Linked DNA regions of Drosophila melanogaster. The protein of the gene in region 1 interacts with the protein of each later gene in a pairwise test. Each region holds a gene or a part of one and is shown in the gene's direction. Other genes may lie near its edges.

The links.
Region 2: the proteins of CG7191 (region 1) and CG1671 interact in a two-hybrid assay, tested with the Drosophila melanogaster proteins (one large-scale study listed by BioGRID).
Region 3: the proteins of CG7191 (region 1) and CG5191 interact in a two-hybrid assay, tested with the Drosophila melanogaster proteins (one large-scale study listed by BioGRID).
Region 4: the proteins of CG7191 (region 1) and Gad1 interact in a two-hybrid assay, tested with the Drosophila melanogaster proteins (one large-scale study listed by BioGRID).

What each region holds. Positions count from the first base shown.
Region 1 is NT_033779.5:7,765,774-7,773,649, forward strand, and holds the start of CG7191 (uncharacterized protein), read left to right. Parts: upstream 1-1,854; 5' UTR 1,855-1,944; intron 1,945-5,488; 5' UTR 5,489-5,546; coding exon 5,547-5,832; intron 5,833-7,295; coding exon 7,296-7,477; intron 7,478-7,691; coding exon 7,692-7,876.
Region 2 is NT_033778.4:9,846,092-9,851,188, forward strand, and holds CG1671 (uncharacterized protein), read left to right. Parts: upstream 1-1,969; 5' UTR 1,970-2,033; coding exon 2,034-2,059; intron 2,060-2,118; coding exon 2,119-4,456; 3' UTR 4,457-4,551; downstream 4,552-5,097. Other genes in the region: Orc6 (origin recognition complex subunit 6), read right to left, coding at 1-182, 239-303; Prosalpha7 (proteasome alpha7 subunit), read right to left, coding at 640-814, 982-1,547, 1,606-1,626; PCB (pyruvate carboxylase), read right to left, coding at 5,046-5,097.
Region 3 is NT_033777.3:20,559,274-20,563,910, forward strand, and holds the start of CG5191 (uncharacterized protein), read left to right. Parts: upstream 1-1,591; 5' UTR 1,592-2,025; coding exon 2,026-2,026; exon of another isoform or gene 2,027-2,083; coding exon 2,084-2,138; intron 2,139-3,212; exon of another isoform or gene 3,213-3,370; coding exon of another isoform or gene 3,371-4,637. Other genes in the region: CG5180 (uncharacterized protein), read left to right, coding at 1-314; CG15922 (uncharacterized protein), read right to left, coding at 510-563, 625-774; CG10877 (uncharacterized protein), read right to left, coding at 3,371-4,637.
Region 4 is NT_037436.4:4,085,706-4,090,495, reverse strand, and holds the start of Gad1 (glutamic acid decarboxylase 1), read left to right. Parts: upstream 1-1,751; 5' UTR 1,752-2,284; intron 2,285-2,791; exon of another isoform or gene 2,792-2,915; intron 2,916-4,652; exon of another isoform or gene 4,653-4,790. Other genes in the region: CG14989 (uncharacterized protein), read right to left, coding at 1-223, 354-457, 1,282-1,529. UniProt on the Drosophila melanogaster protein: Catalyzes the production of GABA.

The sequences.
Region 1 (7,876 bases):
TACAAATATTTGCTCAGCGATACGGATATGCGTAACGGAAAGATATGCGGGCCAAATAGTGTTCTGAAAACCGAATCCTCGAAAGAAGATTACACGGAAAACTAATTTAGTAAATGATAAGGTCCGCTGAGTTTTCATGTGTATAATGATTTTTGGGTAATGATTTATTTTATTTATTTTTACAAATAAATGTATATGATGATATATATTAATTTCATTATAACTTCATAAGAAATATATTTATATATGACATATCAGGCTCTGTTTCCCGGAACACCAACCACAAATTTCAGAGTAATTAGCTGCGCTAATTTGTTTATCATTTTGTTTGGCACGTCGGCACATGGCGAGATTGCATGTGCCAAACCAGAAGGGCGTGACGCATTTGGATGAATCGGTGGCCATTTGGGTGGGTGGACTTCGGACTGATGCAACTTAAGTCGCACAATCCGCTTGCCATAAGGAGCGTAAAGTATGAAGAAGTGGAGGAGAGCGAACGAAATAAATAAAGACGACTATAAATAGCAGGTTCTGGCCAAAAATATGACTTTTGCCGCGCTACATGAGGAAGCCTCCATCCAGTGACACTTTCCCCTGCCCGCGAGCACTTAAACTTTTCAGCGGGCTATTATTGGTTTTCTCTGCGTAAGTGTCATCTTCTGTTGCCCCAGGCGATTTTCAAGAAAACCCTATATATGCTTATTTTCCCGGCCCGCCTTTTAGGCCAAAACAACACACAGTCACACACACATACATACACACACTCAAAACAATAACGAAAACATCGAAGGATCGTTTGGATTGCCCTCCATTACTAACGGCAATTTCACATTAAAGTGTCATCATTTTCAAGGCCTGCGGGCTGCGACGGTTGTTGACATCCGACTGGATGGATGTCCAGACCCTTCGATTCCTCCTCTGCGATTGCCGTGTTCCTTTTGGATTTGCAGTTCAACTGGGAGTCGGACGGAAAGGATGGACTATTGGCCGAGGCCATTGCCGTTTAAGTTTAGGCAGCAAATGTTTTAAATATACACATTAGCTATAAATATAAAATTTGATTATTTTTTAATAAACGCCAATAGAAGGTAAAAAAAAAACAGACATCAAACCCTTTCGAATTAAATTTTATGAGTTTACCACATTTAAATAGATTTTTTATCTTTTTCCAGTATTTATCAGCCTGACTGATAGGCTATATCATCATCGATCTATAAATATAATCGTTGCCTAATTCATAAGTGCAGCAATATGACAATACCATTTTGCACTGGAATATGACAATGCAATTACATTTAGGCGATTCGCTGGAAATTTTCAAATACATTTCCAAACTACCGGCCTGCAGGGATTTCCGCAGCGTCATGCTTGGCAGGTCCTTTGAGGAACTTTGAGACCTCCCACAGAAAGGCGAGATTCCGAGAAACGAGTGACCCGGACTATTCAGAATACGTTTCCGTAAACAGGGCCGTCAACAAAGGCTTCTATCCACCCCAACCCGCAGATAATTTATCACCTTGCCACGTGACGTCTTTTCGCGACTTGTTGTCTACTTTGCGGCGCATATCGTGATCCTGCTGAATAATTGCCACCGACATTATTCATTCGCGAATATCGCGCTAAACTTTTTAAATGTCCCCAAAATATTTCATTGATAAAAACGGCCGTGGCTTCGTTTTCCAAGGAGGAGTGGCCAGTAAAAGCTTGTTTGAAGCTTTTACGCAATTTTTGGCGCCTTTACATCGGCTCGTTGAAATCGACGCACTCGTCATCGGCCGACGATGGCAACGAATCGGTTTCAACTTCGGATGCGGCCTTATAAAAGGAAGCGGCTCCGCGAGTCAACCACGCAGTGTTCAACAAGTAGTAGGTGCAACAGTTGACAGTATTCCGATTCTGATTCCGATTCAGTAACTCAAACGGTTTCCAGGAATATATTTTAAAGTGAGTGTTAACGGTGTATTTCGAATATCAGTCACGCCAAACTCTTTAAGAAGTTTCCAAAAAATATCTTGTGGTCTGTGTTTAATTTAAGCCAGTCGATTTCATAAAAAGGATAACTAAACGTGACGTGAAATCTTAGTAATGCCGTCGCTTTCGTCATCGATTACAGTGTCGTCAATGAAACTCGAAATACGCGCCTAAAAAAATAAATAACAATTTGTGGACATATATTAAATATGCCAAATAAGAACAGGAGAACTCTTATATTTAAAACTATTAAGTGAATTCGTTCTTAATAATACAGAAATATTTTTAAGGCAAAGAAAAGCCAGCTAAAACTTAATTCATTAATTCAGTACTTTTTCTTTGGTAAATTATTTTAATCTGCTCTTATATTTTGAATTGTATCAGAAGATATTTAACACAAAACTACCTTTGGCTTAAAACTGAAAATTACCATAAAGATAGAGCCTAGCCATTGTAAGTTCTCTTCAAAAATAAAAGTAAAATTTTCTTATTTTATTTCACCAACGCTTTTTACAAGAAAACCCCATTTATATGATTAATTTTATATATTATACTAATCTTGTAAATGTTTAACTACAATAATTTATTTTTATTAATTTATTAAAGTTCAAGCTTTTTAAGCACAGAGCATCACAGCTGAACTAGTTAAATTTAAAAATTCATTTCATTGCACTGGTGAGCTTACAAATTTTGGGAAAATTGGTTTTAAGGTTACTCGGGACAGCAATCCATAAATACTTTATCAATGTCAATAACTCAAGGAATTCCCACCAATGCCAAACACAAATGTCAATAAACCAATGAAAATCTAGGAGAAACAAATAGAAAAAAGCATCAATATTTGTTGTCCCCGACCTCGTTCTCTGTTTCAAACCCCTTAAGTTCCACGTGCAAAAATTCCTGACAATCGTATAGAAATTTAAAAAAAAAAACTGAATCAATCGAAAGCATTCCAAAGCTGTTTTCATGTCACAAAAATTCAGCATCCCACAGGATTTTCTCCTGGAGAATGTATTTACTGAAATTGGTTGTGCTATTTCTTTAGACATAGCAACTGAAAAGTATATCTAGAGGTATTGACTTACATTCCGCAGGCTATACTTTTCATTAAAGATTAGTACACGATTTTGTAGTTGGCGAGGATTTAAAACTGCAAAAAAAATACTTATGAATTTCATGGAATTTTCTTGGCTAGCACCCTTTTTTTGATTTTTCGTAGCAATCATTGCCGTCTGTCTGGTCCTTTGGTTTGGCTCAAACACTTTGTGTAACCTTTTGTGTGCAAATTTTGACAAGTATCCCAGATGGTCGGATTCAATAAGTAGAAAAGTTATGTAATATCCTACCCAGGATTGTTACGCACGTAGACCGTGTCTAATTGGCCGGACTCCGGCGACAAAATGTCCGATGCACTTGACCAACTCCACATCCTTAGCCCTAATTAAGCAGTTTTTCCGCCACACATGTCCAGGTGGTACGTAGGCGAATATAGTGGCAGATAAGGCCTATGAAAATTCCTTTGGGTTCGTGTGCGTTTCGGTTACACTTCAACTCAATTTAGCAATTAGCTGTGCGGTTATTGCGAAAAGGAAAACAGGCGACGGGTAAAAATGAACGTACAATTATATATGGGTTCCTGAAACTTCCCTCGCTTCCAAGTTAATTTCATTTTACCTTGGGGACATCGCCAACCAGGGTGAATTCCCTTCTTTTGCTTTTTTTTTCCTATTTTTTGTTTTTTGGGCTCTGTCCACTTTTTGACACTGTGTCAACAAGTTAATTAAGGCATTTTAACAACGATTCGTGTTTGCTTTGTTTACTTATAATTCGTTCTCTCCGCAGCAATTTCGAATAAGTTGTGCTTTCCCAAAAATAACGCCAAAGTGTCGCCCACTTAAGTGAGTGCCAATAAAAGAGGAGTAATTGAAAAAGTTTTCTTGCAGGAAATGCCCGAAGAAATTGCAATTTATTTCCAAAATTAATACCAAAAAAAAACAGGAAAATCGCAATGCACTTAAAGACCTAAATCTACGAGAGAACATTGTTCGCAAATATTTTGACAAAGTTGCAAATTTTCAATTGAATTTAATCAAAACGTGACGAAAAGTGAAAAGAAAATCATCCACAGAGAATTTCTCTTTCTCCGAGCAATTTTAATGAACCAAATGCAACCGTCTTTATTTTTTTGAGAGGGCGTGACAGAGTTGATTTGCTTGATTGATTTATGTGGTTAACTAACCATATAAATTGAGCTAATTTCAATGTATTTATCTGTGAGGTAGAACAGATTTTCTGGAAAATATTTTAATAAAGATTAATATTATTAAATTATAGAATTATGTAATAAATTATAATTCCTTAAAAAAACAGACGCTTAAACTTTCGCAGCAAACAGCGCTTTAATTATTTACCAAGCCCTTAATTAAATAATGAACTTTGGATTTCTTGGTGAAAATTTTCACACTTTTTTGTCGAAATTTGTCTTAGGCATACATTATTTTCAGTTGCTTGGGCAGACAAATTAAGCCGATCCTAGACATCTCAACCAGCGAGACCGCAAGTGCCAAAAGTTTCAGGCAACTCATTTATATTGCTCGTCAAGCGAATGTTTTTTAAACGCAAAAAAATGCGATAAGGTTGGCGGGTTTCCCCAAAACCCCAACAACCAGGCTCCTGAGCTAAATGGGCTAAAAATACGCTGCGAAGGAGTTAAGCCCACTCGCTCACTTCGGCGACGTCCCATCCTTAATTAAATGAAACGACAAAGCGCACAGAGTGGGCCCAGTATGAACCGCGATGCAGTACCTGACATAAAAAATATTTATAAAAGCACACAAACACCTACTGCACAGTGGTGGAAATCTATGCGAAAAGTAATAGCATTCTTATCAATTTTAATTAGAAACATCTTTCGTTAAAATCTACAAGAATTATAGAGTAGCTTTCATTTGTCTATAAATAAATGGGATGTTAAAAATTAGGCAGTACTTTTTAATATTCGAATATTAATATAAATATATTATTTTTCTGATAGTTGAATTGTGTAATTTCTACTTTATAAACAACATACTGCATCCGTCTTTGTTATTAACTATTTGTCTGCAAAGTACACAACCTTTATATTTTTACCCAATTTTTAAATAACGGCCTTAGTTAGTGGAAAAGGAGTAGAATTTGTTTGCCCGTATGGCCCACGGTTCTTCGCGCGAAGAAAGATTAAGCAGGAGCGCAAAACAAAAGCCCCAGAATCAGCCGCCAAGTTATCCAAGAGACGCCCTTTTGACGTTTGGCACCCACCGCCCATTTCTCCAGTTTCCCTCGCGATTCTCCTACTTTTGGCGGGGGTTTCTTGGTTGCTTGCGTGTTTATCTGAGTATTGTTTGCTTGAGCACAAAGAGACGCCCACACGCACGGCATAATGGGGCGGATGGGGTAGGTATCCATCCCATGGCCGTGGTAGTGACGGTAATTACCCTCTTGTACAAACATCTACGCTTTTTTTTTTTTTGCCTTCCAGAGACATCCACATCGCCAACGACCCGCGCACTAATCCCGAGCTCATCCGCAGAGGCTGTATGAACATGAAGCCCGACATCCTAGCGCTCTGCATCCTGGCTACCACGATCCTGTGCAGCAGGACGCGTCACGTCGCCGGCTTCCTGACTGCACAGTCCACCGCCAGCGGAGGAGCAGGCGGAGCAAACGGTGCCAAAGTGGGTGACCATCAGGGCGTGGCGTCCGTACCACAACGTCTTCATTTGCCCGTTCTAGCGGTCGGGGGCGGACCCGTTCGCCAAGGACCCGCTCTGCCCGGCGATGTCCTGGATGCCCAGGAACGAGCTGTTTACGATCCCGGCGATGGTGAGTCATAAACATCCCTATTACCGCTTTCCTTGCCATGGTAAACTTCCCGGGCATCAGCTAATCCCCAGTCGAATTAAAAGGATAGCAACTGCATCCAAAGACCATTTCAATTAAATTGTTATCGGGTTCTTTTTGAATGCGAAGACGTAATCGTGGTCAAGGTGAATCCTATAACCAAGCTATTCCATCGCCCTATAAAAATATATAGACCTTATTTATATTAGCCAAATTAATAGGCATTCTGATCCATAAAGCTGAGGAACTGGAACTGAATCTGTTCAGGAACTTTAATAAATGAACTAGTTATTTTGTTGTCATTTAGCTATTTTTCTAAAATATTTTCAATATTTAATGGCAGTTATGGCCTCCTATTTACTCCTCACCTGAGTACATGATTACGTTCAAAATTTTTGCTTGCCGACTTTTAGGCGACCCATTCGAAAGGGGTGGACCAAGAGTTAGGGTGACCCATGGCGTGCACTTAGCCGTAACCGTCGCCCACCATCTCTATCCCTAATGGCCATGGTGACCACCGCTCGCTGAACATTTTCGGTCAGTGCACAATTTTTCAAGTGCCTCACATTGTTGACCATCGCACAATATGTGGAGCATGTGTTTGTTTGTGCTGAGCACTTAAAACGCCCACCAAACTGCCCGGGATAGATTTTCAAATTTGTTGACGAATTTGATTCGACGTTTGCGTTTTACGTTGCTACCACCTACCTTCTACCAACCGGCAATAAAATGTCATATCCGATTTTCAATAAGCGAACTTGTTTTCCAAGCGATTTGATAGATGGGTAAATGGATTGGAAATTTAACGAATATCGATTTGGTTTGAGTTGGTAACATTTGAATTTTTGGACATGATCTTATAAACATACATATATGAAACAAAAATTTAAATTTATTTCTGTTTCTGATCTCGAAACTATTTATTTCAATTGAGGAGTCCTTAAATTTAAAACTGTAAATGCTTTGGGTTCATGAGCGTCCGCTGTCTGCGGCTCTTTGAAGAGACATCGAGTGGACAGTGATGGGCAGACTGGATGCCAAATGCGACAAAAGGCAGTCAAGGAGTTGCAGTGCCTGTTGACTTGACTGACGGACGTGGTCGAAAAGCCGAGAAGGCTTCCCCTGCCGCGGAGGGGAAAAGGAATGCTGTGGCCATAAACTCATTGCCGCCAGTCAATTTCCGCCAGTCCATTGAAACGACCGAAGAGCCGGGGGAAAACATATTCCAGCCAACCAGGACAGACAGACAAACAAACTATTCAAACTTTCAAATATCAAACGGCGGAAGTTTCCGATGGCAAGGAGCAGGAGTCGGGGAATTAAGTGGGAGTGGGAGTGGAAGTGGGAATGGGAATGGCAATGGCGTGGTTGTGGTCGGATTAGCGACAGCTTGAATAAACATTCAAATCGCAAATAAGGTCTTTGGCTTGCTCATTTCACGGCAGAATTACTCCGCGCCCAGGAGCTCGGATTGGCAGTGGTTCCTCAAGGTCCCGACTACGCGGATGCGGTGTACAACGAACTCGAGCTGGCCAGCAAGTTCGAGGTGCTCAAGAAGATGGAGGAGGATTTGCGTGCCGAGCAGGAGCTGGTGGACAAATCCGCTTTGCTCATGAAAATGCTGGAGGTGAGTGCGAAGACAGGCTGTCGAAATTTCGATGAAAATGTTGAAAAATACACGGTAAATTAAATTTTTTTAAAATATTAAACATAAACATCAAAACATATTAGCTTTTGCTTATAAATAACTTTTTGAGTAATGCATACTTAAGTGATAATATTTTTAATTTTTATTAAAATTTTAACACAATTTTTTGATCTATGTGCATTTTTTCGCTCAGGATCCCTCATTGGAAACCTTGCCCTTGGTCTACGTGGAGGAGGAGGAGCCGGAGGCTGTGATTCCTTCCGGCGGAGCCGAGGACTACGCCGACTTGGAGAACGCCGTTCAGGATTTGGTTTTGGGCCAGAGCAAATCCAAGCGTTCGCGCTACTATCGAAGGTATCCATGGAAGCGTCACAACAA
Region 2 (5,097 bases), on another chromosome or scaffold:
TGTTGTTGAGGTATTGGCTCTTTCGCAATCCTGACAATTTCAGTGCCTGCTCCTTGTCGAAAGCGATCCCAATCATGCAGGAAGCGAGATCCGCACACAGCACTATCTTTCCGTACTCGTTGATCTGCAGAGGGACATTCGTGGAGCGCAGTTCCAGGAGGCGTACTAGTTCGGTGGTTTTCCTGAAAGGATTCGATCTTACTGGGTAAACCTTTAAAACTATTTATTTATCGCTTACTCTAGCACGTTTGGCTCCTCCCTTAGGCCCATTTTCGTAATTAACTGTTCTATTAAGGTAGTCATTGTAGTTATTAACAATAGACTGAAATTCCAGTCGTGCGTCGTTAAAACCAAAATAAAGTACAACAAATGGCGCGAAATGCATCAGCTGTGAGCGATAAGGTTTTTCTTTGTAGCAATCGAGGTTTAATAGCTGCAGGCACATTCAAAAGGAACCAGATCCGATAACCAGCGAGCCAATATATTTATATCGAACGATAACTATTAAAGAATGAGAGTATAAAAATATAAAAACCTTAAATTTCACCCGATTTTGTTTATTCATTTTGCGCTTTAGGGAAATATAAAATTAACATTATGTATGAGGCCCAGAATTAGATTCACTGGCACACAAACGAACTAGTGCGTCTCATTGTCGCTGTCTTCGTCCTTGTTGGCCGCATCGCCGGCTTTCCTCGCCTTCTCCGTCAGTTCTGAGGGATTTATGAGATGTAGGCCACCGGTTACCCTGCCCACCAAACCCATTTCGAAGCGGAAGTCCTTGTCCTTCAACTCGTCATGGACTTTGTAGATGCTAAGACATAGGATAGATATGTTAATTATGAATAAAAACCTAGATTCTAAGTGCAATAGATGTCCCAAAAATGCTTCCTATTGTCAGAGCAAGTAAGTTTCCACTCGGAACTAGGATAAAGCCCGCCCGATTTTTGAAACAGTCCCTTTTTTTTGCTGTAAACGTACATTTCACCAGCGCTCTCCACCAATTCGTCGGTCCTCATATCCATCTTGAGCTTCTCCATCTCAGTCTTGGCCAGCTGCTTGGCCTTGCCGCTGGCGCAGGCGAAGTAACCGAAGGAGGAGCCGGACGGCTCGATCTTGTAGAGCTGTGGCCCCTCTACTTCGTCCCAGGAGGCGAGAATGATGGAAAGTCCGAAGGGGCGGACGGCACTGTACAGAGTGTAGGCGTGAACGTAGCCGGCGACTCGGTGGCACAGGTGTTTAAGCGGGATAGCCTGCTCAAATTGCTGTCTGTAGTTGGCTGCCTCCTGACGCGCAATGTCAGCCACAAAGTTTCCATCGGCCACCAAGCCGGCCACCGCCATTCCGATGTTCTTTTCGATGGTGAAGATGCGTCCGCCGGCGTCTGGTTCGTACAGTTTACTGGTGATGATCTTCTCCACGGCCAGCACCACGGCGTCCTTGCCCCGAATCCCGATTACGGTGCCGCTCTTCTCCACCGCCTTTGAGGCGTAGTCGATCTGGAAAACGCGGCCATCAGGCGAAAACTGCGAGGCCGACAAGTCGTACTGGAAGCGAGAGGGTGACGTTAGGGATCTGCAGATATGTAGTTCGCTGACCACTTACTCCAGTGCCAATAGTACTCATAGCGAAGACTTTGTGAAAATTTAAACAATTCAAACGCAAAAATTAGTTTAATTCCTTGGGTCGAATGCGACGATGATTTGACGGCTTTTACTTGGCTAGTGGTGGACAAAACAAAGGGGCCTATCGGTCAAGGAGGTTCGATAGTTTCGGAACGACTATCGTCAATAAAAACCAATCGTATACCAATCGCGATTTTTTCAGATAAAATTCGAATGATTAAAAATAAATCACCAATTCATGGTACTTTATTTATTTAGCACAGTTGAAGTTAATATCATTCTTTTCTTTTCTACTTATACATTTCGAATATCCCCTTACATGCTCTGTAAAGTAACATTTCGAACTAGTTCCGTTCATGTTCTGATCCGCGGCGCACGCGGTTTTTGTATTTATAAACAACGAAAATCATGCTGGCGGGTATCAGCGAGAAAAGGTAACATAAACTTAATAATTACCTGATGATTGCAAGACTACAACAATTTTAAAATCCAGCTATGCGGCGGAGGCCCGCTACACGAACTTCTACGCCGGCGGCGACATCGCCTGGAGCCCGAATGGCCATCATCTTTACTGCCTCAATGGCTCAGCTGTAAACCAGGTGGATGTGCAGACCTCCCAAATCCTAAATAGCTACGGCTTGTCTTCCCCGTCGGCGGATAACAAGAGGCCGGCGGAGCTGGACAATATCGATGTGGAGGAGGATACGATTACTTGCTTCGGGCTGTCACAGGAGCATCTGGTTACTGCCCATCGAAGTGGCCTGCTTAGGCTGTGGCAGCTGGACACTGGGAAGCTGGTGAAGCTGTGGAAGGCGCAGCACAAGGGACCAGTCATCCGAGTTGAGTTTAGTCCCTGCGGCAGGCTTATCTGCACCAGCGGCGGTGCAGATGCCACACTGAGGCTGTGGGACTACTCGAACAACAGCTGTCTGGGTGCCCTCAAGGATTTCCCTGGTCCCGCTTGGCTCCTCGTCTTTCATCCCAATGTGCTGCGCAAAGAGATCTACGCCGGAGGTTCGGATAACACTGTCTATGCCTGGAACTACGAGACGAAGACACTTGTGCACAAGATGCGAGGTCACCTGTCGCAAGTCACCGGCTTGAGCTTTAAGAGCAACGCGTCCGACTGCAATGAAATCGTGACTGTAAGCCGGGACAAGGTTATGATCGTGTGGCAATTGCAGGAGCAGTTGGAAAGCAAGCAGTTGAAGGTTCTTCCCTTGTACGATGAGCTTGAGGGAGTCGTGTACGCAGACGAGGGACAACTGATAATCGTGGCGAGCGGATCGGGCAAGCTGCAACAGGTCGACCCTAAATCTTGGAAGATCAGGGATATTCTTTCTCAATCTGATTTCCAAATTAGTAGACTGCTGCACTGCAGCGAGCTAAAACAGCTGGCCCTGGTCACTACAGAGCAGAATATTTTGGTCTACGACGTTGAAACCCTGGAACCCATTAAACACTTGGTGGGTTACAACGACGAGATCCTAGACATGTGCTTTATGGGCGAACACGATCGCTACCTGGCCGTTGCCACCAACAGCAAGCACTTCAAGCTGTACGACACGGAACACGACATGAATTGCAAGCTGATCGTGGGTCACTCGGATACGGTAATGTCCCTTGCTGCATCCCAAAATCTGCTGATTTCGGTGGGAAAGGACTGCAGCGTTCGGCTTTGGAGGCTTCAGCACGACAAAGATTGCTCGCTTGAGGCTCTGACTCAACAGGCCAACTGCCACACGTCCACTATCGGTTGCGTGGCCATGACGCACAACGGAGCTACTGGCTTTGCATCCGTGAGCCAAGATGGCAGCATGAAGGTATGGCAGCTCGTCAGAAGTAAGGAGGATCGCAACTCGTACTCTTTCAACCTGCGCTACGCAGCGCTTTCCCACGACAAGGAGGTGAACTGCGTTGCATATGCTCCGAATAACAAGCTTATTGCTACCGCGTCGCAAGACAAGACGGCTAAGGTGTGGCTGGCGGAGTCCAACACGCTGCAAGGAGTGTTGCGGGGACACACCCGCGGTGTGTGGAGTGTGCGCTTCTCTCCGGTGGATCAGATCGTGCTCACCTCATCGTCGGACTGTACTCTCCGCATCTGGTCCATCAGCAATTTTTCGTGCATAAAACGTTTCGATCAGGAGTGCACCATACTGAGAGCCGAGTTCCTGGATCACGGCAAGTTCATTATCTCCGCTGCTTCGGATGGCCTTCTTAAGCTGTGGAATATCAAGACCAACACATGTCTGCAGTCCCTGGACGAGCACAACGATAGGGTTTGGGCGCTGGCCGTATCCGCCAGGAGCAATCGGTTCTTTTACACCGGCGGCGCGGACTCCAAGCTGATTCGCTTCGGTGATGTCACTCAGGTGACGCGAAACGAAGCGCTGGACAAGCGGCAGGCCGCATTGGAGCAGGAGCAGACCCTACATTCCCTTCTGCACGCCCAGAAGCAGCTTCACAAGGCCTTCGTGTTGGCTCTGAACCTGGACAAGCCCAAAGCCAGTTTCGATATTATCAACCACTTTGTCCGCAAGCGAGATGAGCCCGGTCTCCGGCAATTGGTTGACCAGTTGAACGTTGACCAGCGGGTTGCGCTGCTGCAGCACGTCAAGGCATGGACCACCAACTCGCGCCATTCGCAGGCGGGCAACATGATCCTCAAGTACTTGATCGGAGATGCTCTTCTGGATCCCAAGGCGAGGTTCTACTACAATGGCAACATGGTCGAGGTACTCACTCCGTACGTCCAGAGACACTTTAAGCGGGTCACCGAGCTGAACAAGGATCTGGCTTTCCTAGAGTTCATTGTCAAGTGCATGTAGGCTTTAGCTTCGGAGCCGTTTCATTCATGATTGTTAACTTAATTCAGTTTAATTAATTTTAGGAAAAAAATAAAGTAGATAACCATACATTACATATTTGTTTCGAGATGTTTAATCACCAATTTCACACTACAAAAACCAGGGCGTTACTTTTTATTTTGTATAACGTTTATTACACAATAGTTAATATAACATTAATAACCACTTACGTATTTACTAGAGGGGGAATCTCGACACAGGTGTTTGCGAATTAAAAATTCCATAATCGTACAAATTTGATTCAAATGACTTGCGGGAAAAGCCCTACGACAAATTTACAAATATACTTGGGCACGAACTTATGCAATCCGATATATTTTGGCAGGGACAGCTAAAAAATTTGACCAGTTACTCATGGTCGATTGATCCTGGAAACACGGAAACATGAATGATTTTGATTCATATAAAAATAGACACAGGCGACTTTGGACAGTTTTATGATCAATCGAACTGACAGAGTCCCTAAGATTATCACTGTTTTCACTTAATTTTACATTGGGTGTGTGCGGTGGCAGCTTAGACAATGGACATTTTGATCCGGTGGCACTGTCTATTCGATAATCATAATGAGGTCCTCGCCCTCCAGCTTCGTTCCGTTGGCA
Region 3 (4,637 bases), on another chromosome or scaffold:
TGGAGCACCACCAGCAGCAGCTCCACCTGCAGCAGACGAATGGCCAACATCAGGGCGTTCCCACCATCCAGATAGGCCGCGATCACTATCAGCCATTGTTTGGCAATGCCGGCACCACTGCCTATACCACCACAGCGGCTACGAGCACATCGCACCGGCAAGACGACGAGTACGATGCCATTGGCGTGAATGTGGCGAGCAAACTGCGCTCCATCAACCCGACGCAGCGGATCGTGGCCGAGAAACTGATCAGCGACGTTCTATTCAACGCACAGCTGGGCAACCTCACCGTTCACTCGGCCCTCACGCAGTAATCTCTCTTGTCCCCCTAGACTAAGTATGTGTAGTCTCTGGCTTTATATCTCCATTTTGTCTGTGTCCCAACCTGCAGCCCGGCCAACATGTGTCGCCCGGGCAGCAGCCGATTGTACCATACAGTTTGCATGTAGTTTTAATTATTCTATACAATAAATAGATTGTATGTCTTAAGCTCATCACCAGAGGGTTTGTCATTCCGTCGAACTTCCTGCGCCCGTTAGCTTGTTCCACACAAACCTGGCAAACTGGACAAAAAGAGGAGCTGCTGTCTTGAGGTGATCGCCTTAAGAATTAGGACTAACATACCGTGACCGGCGGCATCTCGATCTGTTCCGCCTCCGTGACCAGTTTTCGGTTGCTCTGCATGTAGCTCCAGCCCAGATGGATCCCCACCAGACTGGGGATCATCACGACGGCCACCAGGTTGCGCGACACGAACGAGGGCTGCTTGCTCATCTTTACAAAATTCGTAAAACGGAATTATTATTATTTAACAGCTATCACAAATCAACAATGACGATGTGACCGCATTGCGATGTTTGTTTAATCTTATCAACGAAAAATACCAACCTATAACGCTGCCCCAAAACGGGCGGCTAGTTTTGAATAAAGTTTCTATCTCCCCCAACTTGGTCCAAAGTCCAACGTTTTCGGGGATAATAATGGGAAACTAAACGTCTCGCAATTCTTTGTCTGGGACTTCGATTGCTTGGGCAGATAAGCATCTGTCATTAGTTTGTTGCGGTGGCTGGTTTTAATAACAAATGCGGTGGAGGTGGTTAGAGTAGATCAATGGCATTGTAAAGGGGAACTTCACTTCTCGTAGGGTATATTAGTTGCTGCGAAATTCTTTAAAGACTTTTTGTGATTATAGAAGGCCTGAAGTAACTGGTAAGGTCCTTCGCTTTTATAACTAACATAAGATTATAATAGTTAAAAAACAAAAATGTGTAATTATACTACTTTACGTACAAGTTAAAATTGTCTAAGCTTTGAATTCAAATAACAGAAAGATGAAAAATAATTTTAGGTGCTTAAAGTTCTTAGTGGACAAACTAATTCGGAAAAATTAGAAAATATGTATGAAATAATTATAAGCTGAAATCTGAAATTTTAACTTAATCTGTTTTAAAAACCGTAAAATAAGCTATAAATTTATCGTCACAATAAAACCAATTTTATTTCAAATTATGAATTAAATTAGAAATTAAGTATGACCGTAACCTCCCGTCTCAATCCCTGTTCTGGTCACACTTTGCAGGCAAGGCGAAGAGGCAGTTAACTAACTGTTAATTGATAGCCCACTGCGTCGCCAACTAACCTTTTCCCATATTCCCAACTCAACCCATTAAGTGCGAAATCCACACCCGCGTCGCCGGAGGGGCGTGGGCGGGATCGGATGGGGCGCTGGCTTTGGGGCCAAGCTGGAGGCTAAGACGCGGATGCGGTCTATGCACTTTGCGCACACAAACAACAACGGCAGCGGCAGTAACAACAACAACGACAACAGTGGGCCAAAACAAACAAATTCTGTTATAGACGTCGACGTCGCTGCCGTTGTTGTTGCTATTCCATTTTGGACAGCACCTGCAATTTGAGTTGTAGTTTCAGTTTTAGTTTTGGGTTCCTGGCGAGCAGACGCTCCATTGGACAGTTTATACACATACACATACAGACCTACATATTTGTATTTTTGGTTGATTTGCAAGTGAGTTCTCCCACCCATAGTTGTGCCACCTGCCCCTAAATCCGACCTTTTTGCCAGTGCTGAAATCGATAGTGACCGTCATCCGTTTGCACCTGGAGGAGCTGTGGCTCAGGTAAGCGAATCGCCGGTGCGCAAGAACCCCGCCCCAATCACTCATCCTGCACGGCTACTACTCCGCCTGTCGGAACAGGCCAATCAAGCGATTACGTTCAAGGCCAGGGAATAGAAATTATTATTAGAAATAGAAATCCATAGAAGAAAACGACTATCACCTTCTTGTCACAAAGAAAAGAGGTCAATGGACAACTGCAGAATCATTGGAGAATATTGCATCAAGGACTTAAAGTGTAGAGTGCGTTAGGACTTCTTGTGTAGACAACATATAGCTCGATCGACATTAAGGTCAATATTTGATAATCAGTTAGATCTTATGATATTATGATCTACTTGATGGAAGCTGTGGAAAGAATGTTTTCACGTATTGACGCAGTCTAAATTTGCTTGGCCGGTATTTACCTATTCTATTTTTCGAAATGATATCAAAAGTCTATAATTCTGCTTAAGCAATATATTATTCATATCCATGGAGCTTGGTTTCATGTAATCTTTCTATGTATATCGCTGAAATCTGAACATTACCCTTTGAAGACCGTTTATAAGACCGTTTCATAATGGCTCATGCATTGTTTAAACTACTGCCTTAAACTAAAGGCGCGCATATTGTTCTTAAGCCCATTTTCAGTCGTAGTAGTTATACCATGTAACATTCGTTTCGGAATTTCAGCTTAGCCTAATTTCGATTTCTATAGAGATATCGCATTTTGAGTTTGTGAGATACTAATTGACGATATTTAACGAACGTGTTTTTGATTATAGCTTTAAGTGTTGACGTTTAATCCAGTATATTTCACCCCGACCAGGAAATAGCTTTCTAGCCGTATTTGTTTGGTTGCGTATACATCGTACCTTAACTAGGTAAAAATCAAAATGTTTACAGTCATTTACTTCATGATATTTACGACACATACGAGATTATACGAAAAATAATCTTTGCCCTTTTTCATGGTCTTTTGACCCCGTCGTAGAAGTTAGCAAATCGAGTTCTAATGAAATTCCGCTAACGACTTTGTATTACTTAGCTATCAGATCGTTAGTCCAGCCTCTTCATGTTATTCGTTGCATTTTTATGAGAAATTGTCATTTATTTTTTAAGGCCTTTAGTCGGTCTAATGGTAAATGCATGATTATCACTAAAATATTGGTCGCAAAAGACCATATAAAGCAGTATATATCAGAGGATTTAGGAATTCAAATCACTTTAGACTGTCCGAAATCCCAATCGGGTTACTGAATAATGTTATCCTTCTTCAGCTTGGCCAGCTCATCCGGCCCGTAACCCAGTAGTTCGCCCAGCACTTCATCCGTGTGCTGGCCAAGAATCGGAGGAGCTGTCCGGGCATCGTTTCGCGCTTCGCTGAAGGTCACAGGAGGACCAACCACCTTGACTGTTTCGTCCTTGGGATGCCGCAGGCTTTTCACCAGGCCAATGGCTTTTATATGCTCGTCCTCGAAGACCTCGGGAATGGAGTTAACAGGTCCCACGGGAAAGGAGGCGCCCTCGAAAAGTTTCATCCAGTTGCGCGAGGTGTCCTCGGATAGCATTTGCTCTAGGATTCCCAGCAGCTCCACTCGATTGGTCACACGATCCTTGTTGGTCTTGAATTTGGGATTCTGCGCCAAATGTTCCACTTTTAGGCGGCGACACAGGTCCACAAACTGAACATCACTGCCAGTGCCCAGGGTGAGATAGCCGTCCTTCGTCTTGAAGCTCTGATACGGAACGATGCTGGAGTGTGCGGTGCCCATCCTTCCTGCTTCGACCCCGGAATTCAGGTAGTTGCTACCCACGTTGAGCAGCAGGGAGCAGCAGGTGGACAACAGGTCGACTTCGATCTTCTGGCCACGTTGCGTGCGGGTCCTTTGATAGAGGGCTGCCAAAATTGCTCCATGGGCGTACAGTCCTGTGGACATATCCGTCACAGCCACGCCCACCTTGCTGGGCGGTCCATCCCGCTCGCCGGTGATGTGCATCAGTCCTCCAACCGAGGAGGCAATCACATCGTAGCCGGGTCGCTTGGCATACGGTCCCACAGAGCCATAACCCGTCATTGAGCAATAGATCAGTTTGGGATTCACCTTACGCAACTGCTCGTAGCCCAGGCCGTAACGCTCCAAGGTGCCGGGCACATAATTCTCCACCAGCACGTCGCTAATCTCGGCCAGGCGATGAAGGAGTTGCGTGCCGCGCTTGATATCGATGCAGATGCTCCGTTTATTGCGATTGGGAGCCAGGAAGTAGGCGGCATCGTTGCTGTTCTTTAGAAAGGGTGGTCCCCACTTACGCGCCTCATCGCCAAAGTGTGGACGCTCCACCTTGATAACTTCCGCGCCGAGATCCGCCAGAACCATGGTGCAATAGGGGCCGGCGATGATGCGCGATAGGTCCAAAATCCGGATACCATGCAGCGGGTGGCGTTCGTCCACATCGCTGGCATTAGCATTATCGGCTGCGTTGTTTTTATCGCCAACGGCTGCGAAGTTTCTCAAGCTC
Region 4 (4,790 bases), on another chromosome or scaffold:
CTCCGTTCGGCATTCTCCGCGGCTCTGGAACCGTGTGTTGGATCGCCCAGCACTCCACTGGCCTTCTCCTCGTCCTTTCGAACCTCCTCCTGCTTCTCCTCCTCCTGCTTCCGCTCCTTCATCACCCTCATCCTGCGCACCTCCTGCTGGCAGGGACTGCATCCGGGCAGGGAGCGACCCATCTGACCACAAAAGCTCGAGCAGACCAAGTCGCCCGCTTTAGCTGGAAGTAAATAAGTGCATTTGATTAGTATGTTTATTTTTCAAAAAGCAAATTAACCTTAAGTTCGACCATAATAATCATTAAAGTATAATATTTTGAATAGAGTTTCAATATATTATTTTCCACTTACCCCTAGGCAGTCCACACAGTTGCCGGCACTTGGCCACATCCGTCTCCGGTCTCAGGATTGTGTTTTTGGCCACATCAGGCGTTGAAGCAACGCCCAGGCCAGCTCTGCAAGGATCAACCATAAAATGCTGATTAAATTGCAATGCAGAGTAAATTAAAAAAAAAAAAGATTTAAGATGACAGTATATGACACTCGCATTACCAAGTTAAGAACCATGATATATGCATAATTGTTATTGAAACTAGGTTTACAGATAACATAGTTTTAAATAGCACAAATGATCTAGGAAAATCTCGACTTGATAAACTGTTTTTTTTTTTTGTAAAAAATATATTTATTTCAAAACATTTTTAAATAGTATTAAACACCAAATTAAAAAATAATGCAGAGTATATTTTAAATATAAACGCAAGCCAAAATGTTCTAATTAATAATATTTGTAAATTATATATCGTAAAATTGTGAAATAATTTTGATTAGCTTTGACCCGACATTTAGAATTTATTTTTTAAAGCCTATTCAATTTTTTAAGTGAGCACAGTACTTCTGGCGACTTCGAGTGCCATTTATACTTAACATATTTGGCACTTGACAAACTACTGCACACACGCCACAAAAGTCGAGTCACGAATCATTGATATAGCCACCGATCATCAGGAATGCGGATTATATTTCCCTGACACACGCGATTGTGGGAAAACCTCGATGGAAGCCACTTGAAAGGCCGACGCGATTTGCAAATGATTTCTCAAGGCCAACATTTTAGTTGGTAAATGTGTCGTATTATTATCATTATTAGTTTGCACTTTTTTTTGTGTTGGGGGGAAACCTGCACTTGCCAACAATAAACACTTGAGTCACTTTGCGCCGAGGCACCTTACTTTCAGTAATTCCTAGAGTTTTCGATTGCTGTTTATCCGAAACTTACCCGCAGAGCTCTTTACACAGCAAACTCCAATCCTGAACTGCGCTGATGGTTTGGACGTCTTCAAGGATTTTGGCTGCTGAATGCGCTGCCGTCGGAGCAGCATCCCCCAAAGTGTCGTCCTTCAGGACGGGCGATGACGTCACAGCCTGCGCCTGCGCAGCCAGGATGAGGATTGTGACCAATGGTATGACGAGCTGTAATCCACATCCCCCCATTTTTCTCTGTCGCTTTTCAACACGCTCTCCCATCGCTGGGCTGAAAAGAGATGGGTAGATTACGGAACTGGGGGATGGGTTTTTCACGCTGGTTTGGGGCGTATTATCCTCCAGGGAGGACTGGGCCAAAATGGAGACTGTTTGGCCCCGTACAATAGGAGCAATTGTGCTCGAAATGCAATTATCGCGCTCTCAAAAATAGGCAGCAAAAAGCAGCGTTTGGGGTACTTGCCTGCGGGGCCTAATCCTTACACCATTGTTATCCCGAGCATTTGCTATCCGAATATCATTCGCTTGATTTGCCAAACCGAAAGGGGTTATGCAATCGCCTGTCTTTCGAACGCAACTGAGACTCCCACCTGGCATCCTGGCATTCTGGCATCCTGACAACGCTTTTGCAACGGGATTCTCGTCGAAAATACCTCACATAAATGCCTCAGCTAACCAACCTGCTGGAATCTTATTTTGTCAGCGTAATGACAGGCTAAACAGTCGAAATTCCCAAACTCCCATTTGTTTTCCACGGGCAACGAAAAATGTTCATGGCCCCCGGGGTGCGGAGCATTCCCTGGCCCACTGTGCTTCTGATGCCTCTGGCTGGCAGTTGAGAGTCGAGTGCCAAAGAGGACGCTTCGCCCTGGCCAGAAACGCCCGGTCTGAATTAGCCGCCCGAGAATAGCAGACCCAAGCTCCCAGCTCCATCCGCATCCGTGGGTGGCACTTGACTCCAAACATTTTCGCCTATCTGGGTTACAGGGCCTACTTGCGCTACGTGCAATCACAGCCAGGTGAGCATCCTATTTTCTGGTCGAGAGCTCATCTCATTGTTCAATTCCATTCGCTAGTTGTGCTCTTATGAAAGGGTATCGATCCTGTCTAACTATTTCTACTGATGCAAAGTATCTATCTCAATTTATTTATCTGCTATCATTAATAATAAGGAATGTTTATAATGAAGTATTAAATATTTAATGACTGCATAGTTTTATTTTTTGATAATTTTACAAATCCCTTTCAGCTTTCTAGTTTGATTAAAATCAAATAAATAGTTCTTCAAAGCTTTGTTATTTTTAGTAATATGACTATTCTTTTAACTAAAATATTCCTTAAAAATGTACATATAACTTTTAAAAGGGACTGCAAGGCGACATGCTTGTATTGCAACCATTATTTTTGAGAGTATTTTAAACATCGCTCTTAAAATGGCTTAAACCCATAATCCTTTTGTTTGTCCATGTCTGCTGCTGTTTCTGTTACTGTTTCTGTTTCTGTTTCCGTTTCCTGTTACAACTCACTGTGCTTTTCCAAAAGTTTGACTCAATTAAATCCGATTGTTCGTGGCACCTGCTCCGCTCGAAATGCTTAAATCCTTAACTCGACGGGATTTATATAAAGCTGTCCGCTACAAATGGTAGCAGTTGTTCAACTGAGCCCAAACCGGCCCAAACGAAAATCCCACTTACTAATAATAAATGTTTTTGATGGCTTTATCTGCCGGTGTCATAGATTCAAGTGCGAATCAGAGGATAGACTATCGCAGATACACCCGATCCCCCCCTCCTTTTCAGACTGGTCTGTTTGCCATATATCTGCGATAAGTGCAGACCGAGTGCCTAATTATTATTGGTAGCACATGCCGTTGAAGTGCTTTTCAGATAGCAGGCGACTTTATTTCGCCATGTTTAGTGGTTCTAAATACCATGAGCTGTTTTTGTATCAGAAATATTTGTCTGACACTTGTGATGGATGGGTTTTGTTAAAGGGTTACGCAGATGTTAAGGCGTAGGGTGCAAATTCATATCTATTAGGCGCCATATTTGTCACTTAAGGTCTTCTAAAATGTTTTTATTGTTTCAAGAAAGCAATTGAGCAATTAACAATTAAAAAACTGCGAAGAAAGTCCTTTCACACAGTTGTTGCCACATCAAAAGTAACGATTTCGTTGTGCAATTACGGCTTTATGGACTTTCTGCAACTGCCGTTGGATTTCTTCTAGCTAGTGCTACAAAGTAATGCACTACGCCCTATGAGAATGTTTTGAAAGTCATGTTGAACAAGTGTCGACTTCATTTTGCCAATATTGCAGGCATTCAATAAAAAAGATGGATCACAGGGACTAGCAAGGGAGTTATTGCCACTGTAATGGCCTTCTTAAGTTGCAATCAGTTACATCGAAAGACACTTTTCAAGTGCCAGAGCCCTCGCAACGAAAATACGCTGACGCATTGGATCCTGCCCAGGGAGCAGGAGCTGGAGCAGCAGCAGGACCAAGTGCCAAGTGCCAAGTGTGTGGTAACATCCTACGCCAGCTGCTCCGTGTGTCAGATAAGAATGGAAGTGGAGTGGGTGGAACTCTTTTGCGGCAAGTATTCCTAGGGTTCTCGTTGTTTAAGCTTCTCCAGTTTGATGGACGTCCTTTTTGGTCCTGCTGCTCCTGGGCTCTTTACCCAAGTTGCATAACATGGCCATAGATGTTCTCTGGCCCTCAAAAGTATGCTACGAAACGCGTTCTATTGGAAATGATGCAATTTCACTCTGAGATACATATCTATTTTGCATAGCCCAAGTGGGCGGGCGGCCTAGCTTTGACCCAAATTTCGTTTTTGTTCTATATACCAGGAATCTATATGCTTTGGCTTCTATATCTAAGCGCACATATGTACATATATGCGGGAAATGAAAGTAATTATAGGGTTATTTTTTTTTGTTTCATTCGACAGGAAACTCTCATAAAAAGTTGTGGGTCATTGTAAATGTCAGAAACAGTGGCAAAATTAGTTTGTTAATTAGCTTTTCATTTGGTCGCCCCATCACAATCTATATTTTCCTTTCCCTTTATCCCGTTTTATTATTTCTTTAGCATTCACCAGGCGTGCGCACATATTTCATGTGTATCTGTTGGATACTTTGGGGCGCGCATGGCCGAAGCTCCGCCCACGCAAAATGGCCTTAACAAAGATGGTTTCCGAAAAATCAATGACGTCACCCGGAGAATTTCCCGCATTTTCCTCAGCCCCACTGTTGTTGTCGTTGTCGCTGAAGGTTATGCAAGAGATTGAGGAGTAGTATGTATATACATAGGTACGCTTGTAGTGGTATATGGGCAGCCATTTTTTGGATGCGAAAAGCTTCGTAGGCAACTCAGGCGGATGCTGCTGCTCATAGCTCCGCAGATCGTCAGCGAGTGTAGGCTGCTCAGTTCCCTAAGTTTCCCAAACCGAAAGTGAAAGTTGCCCGAAACCTGTGAACCTGTGAAAATATATATACATTTCAAATCCAATAGTAATTCCCAGT